2 linked regions of the Danio rerio genome follow. Each later gene encodes a partner of the first gene's protein in a complex. Links are inferred from orthologs where the notes say so. Each region holds a gene or a part of one and is shown on either strand. Other genes may lie near its edges.

Evidence for each region. The genes of interacting proteins can lie anywhere in the genome.
Region 2: mta3 (region 1) and cdk2ap2 share a complex: the UniProt entries of both Homo sapiens proteins name them as parts of the nucleosome remodeling and deacetylase (NuRD) repressor complex. The link is inferred for Danio rerio from reciprocal best matches to the Homo sapiens genes MTA3 and CDK2AP2.

The regions. Positions count from the first base shown.
Region 1 is NC_133187.1:27,001,676-27,009,930, reverse strand, and holds the start of mta3 (metastasis-associated protein MTA3), read right to left. Parts: upstream 4,517-8,255; 5' UTR 4,456-4,516; exon of another isoform or gene 4,352-4,455; 5' UTR 4,314-4,351; coding exon 4,286-4,313; intron 922-4,285; coding exon 854-921; intron 1-853. UniProt on the Homo sapiens protein: Acts as a component of the histone deacetylase NuRD complex which participates in the remodeling of chromatin.
Region 2 is NC_133176.1:43,112,058-43,120,074, forward strand, and holds the start of cdk2ap2 (cyclin-dependent kinase 2-associated protein 2), read right to left. Parts: upstream 4,393-8,017; 5' UTR 4,185-4,392; intron 3,913-4,184; 5' UTR 3,808-3,912; coding exon 3,753-3,807; intron 3,319-3,752; coding exon 3,227-3,318; intron 1,313-3,226; coding exon 1,192-1,312; intron 1-1,191. UniProt on the Homo sapiens protein: Acts as a component of the histone deacetylase NuRD complex which participates in the remodeling of chromatin.

The DNA of each region.
Region 1 (8,255 bases):
TTATTATTTTTTATTATTACATAAACATTTATTTTTGAGCTTCTGTCACATTTTATAAATATTTTCATGTCTAAATTAATAAATTCATTCTCTAAGACAAGTGCATTAGCAGTCAAAACATAATTCAATATCATTCAACTATATAGTATCTAATCAATACATATAGTGTTTGCTTCTACTATCTGACAGGACTATTAATACATAAAGTCTGGCCGAAAAAAATAATGCAGACAAGGTGCATCTCAATGGCCGCAGGGAAATCATTTGTTTGGATGCTCGACAGAGCTTATGTGCAAGGCCAAAGCAGAAAAAAACCTGAAGAGAACTGAATATGCCAAACAGCGAGGTCTATCTTTTGAAAAAATATATCAATATAGTAGATCTAATAACTAATCGATGAGAATAGTGTGCAAGGAGTATGCTGACAATGAAAGCAGAATGGCAAAAGACTAATTTGAATTATGCATTGTGTTTAAAAAGGGCTGTTTAAAAAATCCTTCAGCATTTAATATTTAAAGAGCTGAATCTTCTTTGATCATAATACAGACGTCCTACAGGGGGAGAAAAAAAGATGTCGGTTTCACACCACAGCCTACTTCTCTAAGGGACTCCTGGATGCAGTCTGGTGTTTTGCGTATCTCACACAGATATGGTTTCTCGGCAAACAAGGTTTGGAGTGAAAACACAACAGACTGACGGAAGAAGCATACAGAAATGCAAGTAATTTAGCTCTGTGTGAAGTGGCTAAGCTTTTTTACGTCAATGTCATGACAATGTTGTGTCGACACCCTACTAGTACACCCACTGTCCGACTAGCTACATCTCCCTCCCAGCCCTGAGGGTAATAATGTACCTTATTCAGTTCCTCTATTCGCCTGATCAGATAGGGGTTGCTTGAAGAATTCTCAAAGAAGACATAATCTGCAGAAGAAGAAAAAAAATTTTTGTTGGAAGTCAAAACTTGGGTTTGGATGATAGTTAAATGTCTCAGAGACTCGGAAAACAAAAAAACAACAACATCACACACAAAAAAACAGGAAAATGGTGAACATCATTATACTATTATATACATCACTATACTATTGTACAAATTCATCTAACTCTATATACTAAACATGGATGTAATTGGGACACTATATCTTCTTTGATAAGAAATTTTACCAAACAAATGCAAACTAGAAATCCCGAACCTGTCATTGTATAAAATTACATTAAATACAACTCGAAACAATGAACTGGGGCACGACTGGTTCCCGCTGATATTTATTCATTAGAAGGTTTACAAATTGTATTATGAAGGATTTGTGTTTACCAGTCCACAAGTAAAAAGGAGGGAACATTGACTACGTTTACATGGACATCAGTAATCAAATTATTAGCTTTAATCTGAATAAGACAATAACATGGTTAAGTTGTTAACATGAGTTGCTTTTTGAATGTCCCTGTTATGTTTTACATGTTAAAAGCACATAATTCGATTAATTTCGTTGGGCCACCACACTATCCACATTTCCTCTGGAGTTTTATTTTTAATTTGTTGACTTTAACTGCAATTTGGCACTTCACTTTCATTCAACAATATCTCATGTATGCCCCCTTAGACAAACGAAATATTGAATGCGAGTATGAACTGCTGCAAGAGTGTTGTTTTAATGAAATTTGATACCAGACACCTTATTGAGAAAAACACCTCTGCATTTCACGATGCAGGTGTCTGTAGTCCTTCACTGACTTGGTAGGTGCAAAGAATAATGTCAAACAGCCGTGTGTTTGTGTATAGACCAGGTGTGGGCAAACTTGATCCTGGAGGGCCAGTGTCCTGCATAGTTTAGCTCCAACCTTATTCAAATAGACCTCATCATAGAGTTCTAGTGATCTTGAAGACACTGATTGGTTTGTTCAGGTGTGTTTGACTAGTGTTGGAACAAAGCTCTGCAGGGACACCGGCCCTCGAGGATCAAGTTTGCCCATCCCTGGTATAGACTACTGTATCTTGACGCAAAATGCGGCGAAAATCCTACACAACAGTACCAGTTTGATTAAAATGTTTACATGTCTGTACTGCACTTCAATACTGCAACTAGATCGGCATGTGCCACATGTTGTAATTTGATTTCTGTTTAGTTCGATTATGACGTTAATTAGATTTTTTTATTGTGGTTTACATGGTAGACTCTTAATCAGAGTATTGTCTCAAATCAGATAATTGTTGTCCATGTAAACAATAACTGATGTTTAAATCCATCTCATTTGGCCACTTCAGTAAATTAGTAAAGTAGCCAAATGAGATGGATTTAAACATCCATTATTGTTTACATGGATAATAATAATCCATTTCGAGACAATACTCTGATTAAGAGTCTACCATGTAAACCACAATAAAAAAATAACAATCCAATTAATGTCATAATCGAACTAAACAGAAATCGAATTACAACATGTGCCACATGCCGATCTAGTTGCAGTATTGAAGTGCAGTACAGACATGTAAACATTTAAGAGAGTCTATGTTTGGATGTATGAATGAGCCATTTGTCATTTTTATATATAATATTGTGATATAAGCTTGTGGACCATATATTTAAGCATGAAAATAAGGAGTGAAGCAGGTTTTGTTTCTGCTTTTATAGCCAGAAAACTACATTAAACACCAGACATGCTTTCATGCACCAATTTCTGTTCATCTAAATGAATTAAATCGAATTGCACATCAGTTTACACAATCTAAAAACTATCATCAGATTCAAACATCAGTTTATTTGCTTTATACATTCTGATTGAAACATTTGCGACTGAAACTTGTGACATCATATCACACTTTAGAAAACAGCATGGAAGTAACACCAACAGATCTCATTATTGCTATTTTTGCCCTGTTGGCAACGACATACACATTCGTAAACCAGCAACATACATTTTTTGTGAAATTTTACTTTTTCCATCGATAAGTTCTCTACCTGATGCCATCATGGCAACTAAAGGCATGTATGTAAACTTAAACACCATGTATTTCAAGTCACAGCACTGTGCATATGCCTCGGACAATTTTGCACACTAAAGAATTTTTGGGTAAAGGATACATTCCTTACAGTTAGGCATAACTGATAACATTATCATTTCGATTGCAGGAATTCTTCTTGCACTTACATTACGGTAATGATGAAAATCCCTAGAAATGGCACATTTTATAATGCAATGTTTTTTTTTACTATTCTAAAACATTACCAATTGTGTTGTGTGACCTGACAAGACACTAAGACCTTCAGCTTGGCCTTTGACTGAGGCTAAGAAATGGTTTGTTTCTGGGATACATTTGTATATATAGCATTTGTCAAAAACAAGACGACGAGGTGAAGAATGTGCATTCATTAACAAACACTTCATTCATGCAAACAAGCATTTTCTCTTCATTGCCATTTAAATGACATTCTTACACATGTATCAACACATAACATCACACAAGGAGCATGTCATAAGGTAACCGCGCAAAGTATTCAATTATTACAAATGCTATTAGATTTGCAGTGAATTCATAGGAAGTTTGCTCGTCCAGCTGCAAAAGCATTTTCAATGGCACTGCATTATCGCCGCCATGAAACAATGTCAAATTCCGCGGCATGTAGCCGGCTAATTGCACAAACAAACGACGCGACGGTATTGTTAAATACACGCTGTTAATTACACGCGTGACAACAAATGCACATCAAAACAGTGCAAATTCTTAACGCTTCGGCAAATAAGTGGGCAGAAGTTGAATGTGGTTTCTCTAAGGAAATCGAGTGAGGGGTGTTAAATGCTAGCTCGCTTTGCTACCTTGCATGCCGAATGAGAACCCGTAACTAATGGATACGTGCCAAAAAATGAGACAAATGATCACAAAGAAAAACATCGGCGTCTAAAATTGCAATGGTTAAATAGCAAGCATATCTCGCTTTTAACCTATGTGGGTAAATCTAAGAGAAACGTGCTCTAAGTGCGCGTTTCCGATTGTTTTACATATAGTAGTGATTATTTGTTTATGATGTGGCTAGCTAGCAACATAGCCTGCTTGCTAAAATGCTAGTGCGGCTATGATAGTTTAAGAGGCCTGACCCAAATCAGAACCCAAAATATTCTGCATCCACGTTATCGTTTTCTTTTGCAAGGACACTGCACGTGTTAAAGAGTTTAAAAGTGAGCGGCCGGTTTCGGGAATTCGCTTGAAATGAGTCCCTGCCTTCCAGTCAGGTCTTACGGTGGTGCCTGTGTTTTGACTTGCGTTAATTCAGAATATAGACGGACATACCTCCGACCCGGTACATGTTGGCCGCCATTTCTGCCCTCCCGGAGTGTTAAAAAACCAAACCATAAACTAAAATAAAAACAAAATAAATATGTGAATCAAGAAGGCATCTACGTCCTGTGACCTGTTGGAAAGCAATCTGGCTTAAGAAGTTTTAAATAAGGGGGGTGGACCTCAGTAAGAATAGGAGATTTTTTTGCAGCCCCCCTCCCGAGATTCACAGTACAATACAGTAACTCACTCACGCGCTAGAAAAGGCTCGAGCGCAGCAGCTTCCTGATGATGAGATGAGAGGAGGAGAGAAAAGAGGAGGGAAGGAAGAAGGAGGGTGAATGAAGTCTACAGACTGCAACCTCAACACGACACTCATGACTGTTTTACCCACAGAATTCAATTAATCATGGTTTTGATGTGCATTTAAATCATTTAAAATAACGTTTTCATATTTTGCCAGTTTTTTTGTTATGACAATAAGTGTCTTTTAAAAGCTGTCAATTGTGGAAAACAAGATTGATATACTTGATTCACTGTTTAATTTAGTTTTGAACATATCACAACCCGATGCACAATGTTTTAGCAACCTATTTATATGAGTGGCAAAACCCAGTTAACACCAATAATAAATGCTGACACTTTGTTTGGTTTTATTAGCATGCTACTTTATCTGTCTGTGTCTGTTGTTCTTAAAAAATACTTTTATTGAGGTTTTAATAGTTTAAACAATATATTGTATATGAAATAATAATATATTTAACAACCGAAAAAGTACTTGCCTTTCAATCTGCTGTGAATTTATTATTATTATTTATTTTTTCTTTTATTTACCTCATTAAGGTGGCACAGTGGCTCAGTGGTTAACACTATCGCCTCACAACTAGAGGGTTGCTGATTCAAGTCCTGGCTGTGTCAGTTGGCATTTCTGGGTGGAGTCTGCATGCTCTCCCTGTGTTTGTGTGGGTTTCCTCCAGGTGCTCCGGTTTCCCCCACAGTCCAGAGCAAAGGTGTAGATTTGGCCTGGATGGAGGGCATATGTCCCCACCAATATCTATCAATTACTGAACTATCCCCACCAATAATTGAATCACCTTCAAAATAAAATAATGCTCCATCAACCCTTGTTAACCTAGATATGCAGAAATGGTTAGTGACATTCTCTTCCTGGGTCCTCCCTCCCACAAACACATAAGGACAGTGTGATTGGCTGGGCCTATTTATGCTGTTATTGACAGCTTTAATTAAAAATCAAATAGTCCTCATTAATTAGTCACTTTTGGTAAAATCATGAATGAATAAACATAATGAAACTGCCTTTCCAGTACAGGGGTTCATGAATTAGTGTACTCTCGGGGTTGGGTTGCGGGTATGAAGGGCATCCAAATCATATGCCAGACTAATTGGTGGTTTCTTCCGCGGTGGCAACCCCTGATAAAACAGGAACTAAGCTTAAAGAAGATGAGCGAGGGAGCAAGTAACAGCCACCAAAGACCAACCATTAAGAAAAGTCAACACATAGCCTTGCATTGACTCACTCACTATCCTTCATTTATTAGTGGTCGCCACAGCAGATTGAACCGGCAATTACTCTGGCATATGTTTTATGCAGCCCTTCCAGCTGCAACCCAGTGAGGAGAAAGACCCATACACTCTCTCATTCACACACACATTCTTTCACTGTGTGTGATTTATTTATAAAATAATTTCGAGAGGATCTTGTGCTTATGATCAACACGGCTGGCACCTCATTAGCTCTGTAATCTGCTCTATTAGATGATTACGGAAGCATTATAAATAACCAAAGTTTTTCACTCCAGTTATATTCGTCTTGGAGCCCCCCCCCCCCTTCCACCCCTACTTTCCACCCTTTTTTTCCATAGGGCGACACGGTGGCCCAGTGGCCAGCACTGTTGCCTCACAGCAAGAACACAGCTGGTCCAACCTCCTATCGGGCTTGTAGGCTTTTCTGTGCGGAGTTTCTATGTTCTCCCCGTTTTCTTATGGGTTTTCCCTGGGTTCCTCAGTTTCCTCCCACCATCCAAAAGCATACACCATAGCCAATCGACTAAACCAAATTAACCCAAGACAACCTTAGTTTACACTTCTCACACGGCTACAAGCAGGGGAGATCTCGAGACCTACCTGAGCTTTAACTCCCCTCTAGCCCTTCTAACGGGAGGGAGCCCTGGGCTCGAGGATATTACGAGCTCAGGGCTCTCTCCTGGGACAGCATGTCAATTACGTTCTATTGATTATAAGTTAAGTGTGAACTCTTGAAGGCCAATTAAGTTTACCCAATTCATGCATGTCTTAGGACTGTGGGGGAAACCAAAGCACCCGGAGGGAACATGCAAACTCCAAAAAAAAAAATCTCCTGGCCCAGCTGGGACTTGAACCAGTGACCTACTTGCTGTAAGGCGACAGCTAACTACTGAGCCACCTGCATCATCTGTGTTGAGACGAAAAAAAAAAAAGTTGCACTAGAGCAGGGATGCTCAACCATGCTCCTGGAGATCTATCTTCCTGCAGAGCTCCAACCGTGACAAACACACCTGAGCCAATTAATTTAGACCTGAACAGCACTTGTTAATTACAGGGAGGTGCGTTTGATATGGGTTACAACTGAAATCTGCAGGAAGGCATCTCCAGGAATAGGGTTGGTCACCCCTGCAGTAGAGGTCTTCTGCCATGCTCCTGGAGGCATCACTATCCAGTAGAGTCAGTCTCCTGCAAAGATTAGTTCCAACCCCAATCAGTGGGTGGAGTCCTGCAAAGTTTAGTCCTAACCCCAATAAGACACAGCTGGACTAGCTAATCAGGCTCTTAAAGGCTTTCTAGAAACATCCTTGCAGGTGTGTTGAGGTAAGTTGGAGCTGAAATCTGCAGGACACTGGCCCTCCTGGACCGAGTTTCGACACCCCTGCAGTAGAGCTTATAGCTTCTACATCTGGTGGCGCTGAGGTTGGAAATAAACATTGCAGGTCAGTGGGTCACAGAGTGGAGCTGAAACACAGCACATAAAGGCCACTCGCCAAATCTCATGTGCAGTGTGTGCTTTTTTTCGTTTACATCAGGGGTGTCCAAACTTGGTCCAGGAGGGCTGGTGTCCTGGAGAGTATAGCTGCGTCCCAAATCGCATACTTATGCACTATTCTACGCCATTTTGTAGTATAAATAGTGTAAGTAGTGTGTTCACACTGAAAAATCTTAAAATAATAAGTGCACTTTAATTACCCGGATGATGCACTCATTCAGCCGCTAAAATGAAGTGTGTAATGATGGACACTTCACGCACTCAACGACCGCAGGTTTGCTTACGTAGCGGAAGGGGCGGAGCTATCGGACGCACATGTTGGATAACTTTATTTATTTTGGATGGAGAAAGCAAAATTCTCCTACGAGAGTGATTATAGCGCCTCCGGATGGTGAATGCGGCAACACTCACGGCAGGTAATATTTGATAATTCGGTCGTTTATTTCACTGATTTGGCGACCGTCAAACGTCATCAGGGAAACGGTTTGAATTTCCGTTTAGTAAAAAAACATTAGTGTGCCATTTGGGACGACACTACATACATGTACTATCCTGTTGAGTGTGTAAGTGCATAAGTACATAGTGCATGAGTGCATAGTGTATAGTGTGCCATTTGGGACGCAGCTTATATCTCACACTTGCTTTAACACACCTTCCAGGAAGTTTCTAGTATCTAGTAAGAGCTTGATTAGCTGGTTCAGGTGTATTTGATTAGAGTTGGAGCTAAACTCTCCAGGATACCGGCCATTCAGGACTGGGTTTGCACACCCCTGGTTTACATGCTTTGCCACAAATTCATTGCAGATTTAATCTAAAACAGCTGATAGATTCTGCCCAATCATGCCAGCACCACTAACCTGATTTCAGCAATAGCACATGTTCCTGTACATGTTTATCTATGTTGATCCTGGAATAGCATTTCAATCGGCCAATCAGAATGAAGGG
Region 2 (8,017 bases), on another chromosome or scaffold:
ACTGCAGCTGCTCAGTGAGCTCCGTCTTTCAGATTAGATGTTAAACTGAGGTCCTGATTCTCTGTGGTCATTAAAAGCATGTGGTCTGTCCACCATGGCCTCCTAAACATTCCCATATCATAATTGGCTTCATCACTCTGTCTCCTCTCCACCAATCAGCTGGTGTGTGGTCTGGTGCAATATGGCCGCGTCAGGTGGAAGCTGCACACGGGTCGTGGATGAGGAGATCCCCCACCGATGTGTAAAGCCAATTGAGAGTCTAGAAAAGTGCTATATAAATGTAAGAAATTAATATTATTATAAAGAATTAATATTGTGTATGTAATATTGTGACTCCCAAGAGCTTGGACGACTGCATCCCTACATCTCTGCAATGACTCAAATAACTTATTATTAAATCCATCTGGAATGGCAAAGAAAGTGTTCTTGCAGGACTCCCAGAGTTCATCAAGATTATTTGGATTCATATTCACTGCCTCCATCTTACCCCAGACATGATCAATAAAGTTCATATCTGGTGACTGGGCTGGCCAATCCTGGAGCACCTTGACCTTCTTTGCTTTCAGGAACTTTGATGTGGAGGTTGATGTATAAGGACTGCTATCCTGCTGAGGGATTTGCCCTCTTCTGTGGTTTAGTAATGTATCGGGCAGCACAAATGTCTTGATATCTCGCGCTATTGATGTTGTCATCCACTCTGCAGATCTCTCGCACGCCCCCATACTGAATATAACCTCAAACGTGATTTTTCCTTTATCAAACTAGACTGATTTCTGAGAGAATCGTGGGTCCAAGCGCGTTCCAATAGGTCATCTTTAGTATTTATAATGATTGGGGATGCAGTTCAAAACATGATTCATCTGAAAAAAAAGAAATCGATGTTCTGCCACTTTTCCAAAAGATCAACCAGAGATCAAGTTTTTTTACTCTTACAACTGGGATCGACGACAAAACTTTTGTCAGGTAGTGTATAAGGCTTGGCACAAAGCAGCATTAGGAACAATAAGTCAGAGTAAAATGCAAAAGCCTTTCTTAGAGCAGGCAAAAGCAACACTGCACGAACACAGAACTGAAAAACTGAGAACAACTCTCTCGACTGCCCTTAGGCTCACATTACTCCAGGGGGCTAAACGTCACTGACTGTTACAAATGTGCTGCATGCTGTACTGTGCTCAGAAGGCTTTGGAGTACCTCTCTTCAGTCTCTCCATGGCACTTTTGCTGCCGGCGTAGGTAGGCCGAATTTCACGGCTCATCTCCTCAATGACGGAGAGCAGCTCACTATAGGTAGATCCCTGGGACACTTTGACCGGCTACAAAAAACAAAACAAGACAGCCGTTGAGGAAGTCTGTGTGACACCCTATTTACAAAAAAAAGTGTAATACACACTACAAATCAAAAGTTTGTAATTATTCAAAAAGATTTATAATTTATGGCTCAATACTTTGAATTTTAGGGGAATTTAAAGCCATTCTGGCTATCTTTATCCAAATGTATGTTAAAATGTTAAATTATGGGTTGCACTTTCAGTTTAGGAAACTAATATTCAAACAAATATTTTAAATAATTATGTTGTTTTACAAATGATTCTATCAGGTCACACTGATGACTGAAATAACGATAATGAAAATTCTGCTTTGCCTCTAAAGAAATAAATGACATTTTGGAATTAGGACTTCCAAGCAATCAAGCAATTGCTGATAAGAGAAGAGTGCGACATAGCAGAAAAACAGTGGAGCTTTTATTATGCCACAGTCAACCTCTTCCTTTTTTCCCCCAAATTGTGATCATGTGAAGCAGCACAGCAGTTTTATCATACTAAATAAATTTTAGGCTTCTGTTATACTGCTGCTCTGATTAGTCTAATAAAATATGCGACATAAAACAAGGACCGTCATTTTCAGTTTTCTATAAAAGCAAAACATAAATCAAGGGTATATGTACAGTGGCCGAGAGAGCTCAATGTGCTGCAATTTAAGTAAACACGCGCAATTACAAAACTCGCAAGCAAATTTAGTAAAGATCCTTATCCATTTGACAGCTGTGCTGCGAATTCTCCCAACGCAAACATAAAAAAAAATAAATAAATAAAAAACGCACTGCTTTTTTAACACAAAAAAAATAATAAAACAGCTGCATTCTCACAACGCAAACAGTTTAAGAAAACGCACTGCATTTTTTACAACCCAAACAATTTACGAAAACGCACTGAATTCTCAAAACGTAAACAATTTACGAAAATGCACTGCATTGACACACTCAAACAATTTACAAAAACGCACTGCATTTTGTCACTCAGTTTACGAAAATGCACTGCATTTTCTCACAATGCAAACAATTTACGAAAATGCACTGCATTTTGTCACACACAATTTAAATAACGCACTGCATTTTGTCATACTCGTTTTCAAAAATGCACTGCATTTTTTACAATAAAACAATTTATACGAAAACGCACTGCATTTTGTCACACTCAAACAATTTACGAAAACGCACTGATTTTGCTCACAACACAAAAAACTTGACTCAACGAAAATGTTTCAAGGTGACCCAAAAACTGTGTCGTAAAAGGTTTGCGTTGTGTGAAAATGCAGCGTATTTTATTATTTGTTTGCGTTGTGCGAAAATGCAGCACGTGTGCTGTCAAACCGATGAAGATCTTTTCTCAATTTGCTGCCGTTTTTTGTAATAGCTATTTTTTTGTTTTTTGTAGTTTCTTAAATTGCAGCACGTTCAGCTCTCTTTGCCACCAAATGTATGACATAATTAGCATGGCAACACTGGACACGGTTGTGTCAAGTTAAAACTGCTCACTTCTCTCAATTTCTACTTAACATTTGAGATAAAGCAAGTACACAAGTTAGCAAAAAAACACTTTTACTGGGTTTTGGATATTTTAATTACAAGAACACTTACATTTAATCTTAACATAATATGAAACCAAAACATACACTGCCTCATTTATGCCCCAATGCCTATATAAATGTGTTAATTGTTCATAAAATTGTATTATAAAAATGTTAAACACAACATTACAGCAATTATATTATATTCATTAAATAATGCAGCCACAGTGAGCCAAGGAGGCTTTTCCAAAAACATCTGAAAAACGTAGTTCAAAATTTTGACTGGTCGTGTCAAAAAGAACAGAAATGTACAGGTTTGAAATTAATCATTGTTCCAATACAGCAAATTGCAAAAAAACCCCAATGTCATCAAAACATGCCTGTACAAAGCCCATCGATGGAGGACCGAAGTCACTAAATGCTGGTCTAAAGTTTGAAGAGGAGGCCAGTGATGGAGAAGAGCCACAAGATCCTGAAACCAGAGAACAAGATAAAGACCAATCACAAATCAAGGAAATGTCAAAAGGCCAAATTCGACCAATGAAACGTTGCCACCCAGTGTGTTTGTGTGTGTAAGGAAGTGAGGAGAAACAGAGGCAAGACTGGGACACACAGATGTGATGGCACAACACTAACACTGGGGAAACAGTTATGGTTTTAAAAATAAACGCTGCAGGGCGCGGTTAGCAGCACGTTAAACCACATTTATGTAATGAGCAAGACAGATGGCCATGGCTCCTTTAACTCCTCCCCCTTTTATCCGTGCCTCTGACCTCTTTTACTGTAGGTTCACTGACCCTTTCCTTGGGATTAAAACGGGGCGTTTAAAAAGATGATAGGCGTAAAATACCTCAAAATGAAAGAAGCACGTAAAAATGAATGAACAGAGAGCACAATGAAACTCACCTGGAGGAGTGTGGTTGGAGCCGGTGGGTGCGGGGGCGATCGGCTTGTAACTCATATTTACACCGCCGTCGACTGTAACCTCGCGTGATGAAAACTTTCTGCTTATCCCCCGAATGTAATCTCGTTGGGCTTTGGCGTCCGAAGCAGGAACGGCGTTGACCTAATGCGAACACAAAGAGCAGATGTATAGATATGCATAGTGAGGTGAGACAAGATAAAGGCTAGCGGACAGCAATGACGGTCCCCTCTCAACTTAACCGGCTCGAAAACCGCGACTTGTCCATTTAAATCGCCCGCATTTGACAGACTTTTCACTATTTTGTGAAAATGTACACCACGTGCAGCGTTCATAGAGTTGTAAACATATAGTTTGTGGTTTAAAGACGGCAGGATGCCTGTGGTGATTTATGAAAGGTACATTTAACAACCCACCTCTTCCGCAAACTCGCTCGACAGCGACACGCGCTAAATATCCAACAAGCCGACAAATGAAACCGACAACAACAACCGGGAACACTTCACGACTCGCTGAACGGTTAAATGTGGTTTCTGTTCGCCGGTTTGTAGTTGTTCGGGGAGGTAAATATGAATATTAACGCACGGGAATAGTTTCTGTGCGCGGAGGTGTCGGTTCTTCTCCTCTCTTCCTGCGCGTGCTAGCCTGCTATGTTATTTTCCCATGATACTCGGCAAAAAGAGTGACTGCGTCATCAGGCACGCGCCTCTGCCGCCTCTCTCTCCCCTTCTCCCTCTCTTTTCCACAATGAAGATTTCATTCTGGATTTTTCTTGTTTGTAGAAAGTGGAAAACAGTGAGTTGGTAATATAAGCGTGTGGAATGTTGATAGTCGAAGGCGTTTATTATTATTATTATGATTATGATTATTAGATAATATTATTTTGTAATTGATGAAATAGAGCCAGCTAGAGCAAACTATGCATTATTGTATGCCTGTTTGGAAGTCTTTAATGCCAAAGTGATACATTAAACACACATTTTGCAGTCTACAATTTTTTTTATTATTTATTTTGTAAATGCGTATTTTTTATATATATTGCATTTTATCATGTATGGCCAATATAACTGTAGTACTTCACAATCATGTGAAGGTCTCTCCACACCACCACCACACCAGGGTTGTCACTAGATCGCACACGGCTTTGGCAGAAGCTAGCGAGAATGATTTATATTATTTATTTTTACATTTCCCATTGTATTTTGTTATTGTCTACCCGCACCCCAATCCTACACCCAATCTTACTGACCCAACAGTACAAAAATGTACTGTTGAAAAATATTAATTTATTAAAAACATTAATTATTGTTATAGAATCACAAAAAAATGCTGCTATATTTATGTGCATATCTCACTTCCGGCCGGCCACGTACCTAGACTGTACGCCACAACAGACACAGGACTACAGCGTCACTGGGCTCACCACACCCCAGCTATTGGTGGAGTGGCGAGACAGTGATAGACCCAATTCGGTGGATGGGGATGATTGGGAGGCCATGATGGGTAAGGGCTAATTGAGAGAATTTTGGCGATTACCCTGGGATTAAACCCCTACTCTTTTATGAAAAGTTTCATTAACCAAAGAGAGTCAGGACCTCAGTTTAACATCTGAAAGACGGCACTCACTGACAGTTGTGTCTTAGAGCTGTAATTGGGCCATAAAAATTAGGCTCGACAGGGCCCAAGCCCAACAGAATTCGGCGTGAGCCCGACAGGGACATTTTGATTGACAGCTTTTTAAAAGGCCAAACCCGTTTACAGCCTGACATTATTCAAATGTGCACAGGCACACAGCTCGTTTGCCTTTTTTTCAAGAATGAGTCATTTATATGTTTCAACATAATTTATTCGTAACAAACGTAGGCTATAGGCCACTTGGAAGTTGGAACAAAGAAATAAAATAAGTCCTCTGTAACATCGTAACATCTCGGCGCTCTACACTCTCAGAAATAAAGGTACGCAAGCTGTCACTGGGGTGTGGTGCCTTTTCAAAAGGTACACATTTGAACTTGAAAGGTCCTTATTGGTACCTCATAGGTATATATTAGTACCTACTTGTACTTTTTTGGTACTAATATGGACCTTTTAGGTACAAATTCTTACCTTTTGTAAAGGTACCAGCCCCCAGTGACAGCTTCTACCTTCATTTCTGAGAGTGTAAAAGCCTAGCTACATTCACCTAGCCTTTAAATTGGCCAACACACCCATGAAAAGAAGTCTTTCTTAACAAATTAAATTAAAATGAATTGTAAATTATGACGGGTATTTGGCAATAACAAAATTTAGATAAAGGCTCTGAGGGATTTGTTTCGCCACTTCTCTTCACAATCTGGCCTTAAGGCGACGGTGAAGCAGAATATTAAAAGAATAGCCTAATGCCAACATTAGTCTGTATACTCTGTCCACATTATGATTTTATGGTTTAATTAATATTTATTTATCATTTAAAAACCCTTTACTCACCAAGATTAGGCTACGTGTTTTTGTGGAGGAACATTATTGAATCCACTGTAAATTGCTTTAGCGCAGTCCTGTGCTCAGGATGGTGCATCCAGCGGCACCGAACACCCTTTCACTGCTGCTGCTACAGGCCTAGATGCATAGGTCTGATCTGGCTAATTTTGGGTAGGATTGTTTGTTCATCTTCTACCAGCCAGGAACATCCATTTAATTTCCCATTACAGCGGTTTCAATGTAGCGAGTGACCTCGTCTTTTTACCTGTCAGCTTGATGTTTAGCGCTTTACCGCCGGGTCCTGTCAGGTTCGGGCAAAGATCTTTAGCTTTATTGTGTCCCCTTCACTTTACTGGGGCATTAGGACTTACACAGTCTGCAGGTTGAGCACCCCTGCTGGCCTCACTAAAACCACTTAGTTCCAACAGCAACCCATTTGGTCTCCCACTGACCAGGCTCAGCTCTGCTTATCTTCAGTGAGTAACCAGTCTTGGGCTGCAGGGTGCTTTAGTATAATGTGTCCATTATTTTTAAACAATATAGATGTCTACTGACCACTCTGACATCTGACTGAAAGAAAATGTCAGTTAATCAGGATGCATTAGCTGGATCCTCTGGCTTGTTATGTGCATAGTGAGATGGATAATCTGCTTACGAATACTAGATCTGCCAAAGTGAGATCAGTAATTTGGTTGAAAACCAACCGCTCAGACAGCCAACTATTTATTTATTCATTAACTCTTGTGCACTGTTCAAATTTACTACTCACAAAACACACAAAATGACCTATTTTCAATATAAAAAGTAGTTGTGGATTTTTTTTACAGTCTTAGACATGTGAATGATTAGTAACAACACTGGCTTTGATGCATTGTTAGATTTAAAGTTTTTCCCTAATTTATTGTTGATGGCTGTTTTTGGCCCATTGACTTCCTTTATAAGCACATTTGATGGTGCATATATGTTTGTTTTTATTTACTCCATGTAGTTCGGAGAGCTGAGATGTATATTTTGATTTTCTTAGACACATCAATGTAACACTTTCACAAACTCACAGACACACTTTAGTTTGCTTTTATACTGCATATAGGCGGTTCATTCAGCTGTGGCGACCCCAGATTAATAGAGGAACTAAGCCGAATAGAAAATGAATGAATGAATAAATACTCCATATAAAATCCAGAAACTAAACTTTTTTCACAGGTGTATCTAAAGGCTTAATGGTACCAACTTATGATCAACAGTAAAAATTGCAAAACTTACCTCCTCTCAACAGGGAAAATCAAAAATGCATATGTATATTGTGTAATGGTTTTGTAATGAAAAAAAATGTGGTTATAATGGAAGCCAATGAGGCAAAAACAGCCCCACGGTTGTTTCAACTGTCCAAGATTGTGATAAAAGGTTAAAAAAAATCCAATCCACAATTACTTATTGTATTATTGAAAATATGTAATCATTTGTGTGTTTTTTTTCACCAAATCAATGACATCATTTATGAATTTGCCATTTAAGGAGTTAAAATCCTGTAGATTTCTTAACAACTTAGTAATTTTGATCTGGACTGAGGTTGATTAACAGATTTGTGCAAATAAATTTTTAAAAAAGGTTTATCTGATGCATTTTACAGCAGTTTATTTCAGTGGATGTTTTCATCTCTAACATAACCACACGGTAGTACATTTGCTCAGAGTGTATCATTAAGTAAAAAAAAAATTAAATCCAAAGCATTTTCTTAATATATGTGTCAAAATAAGATTTGTCATTAAAATCATTCTGCTAGCTGAAACACTGA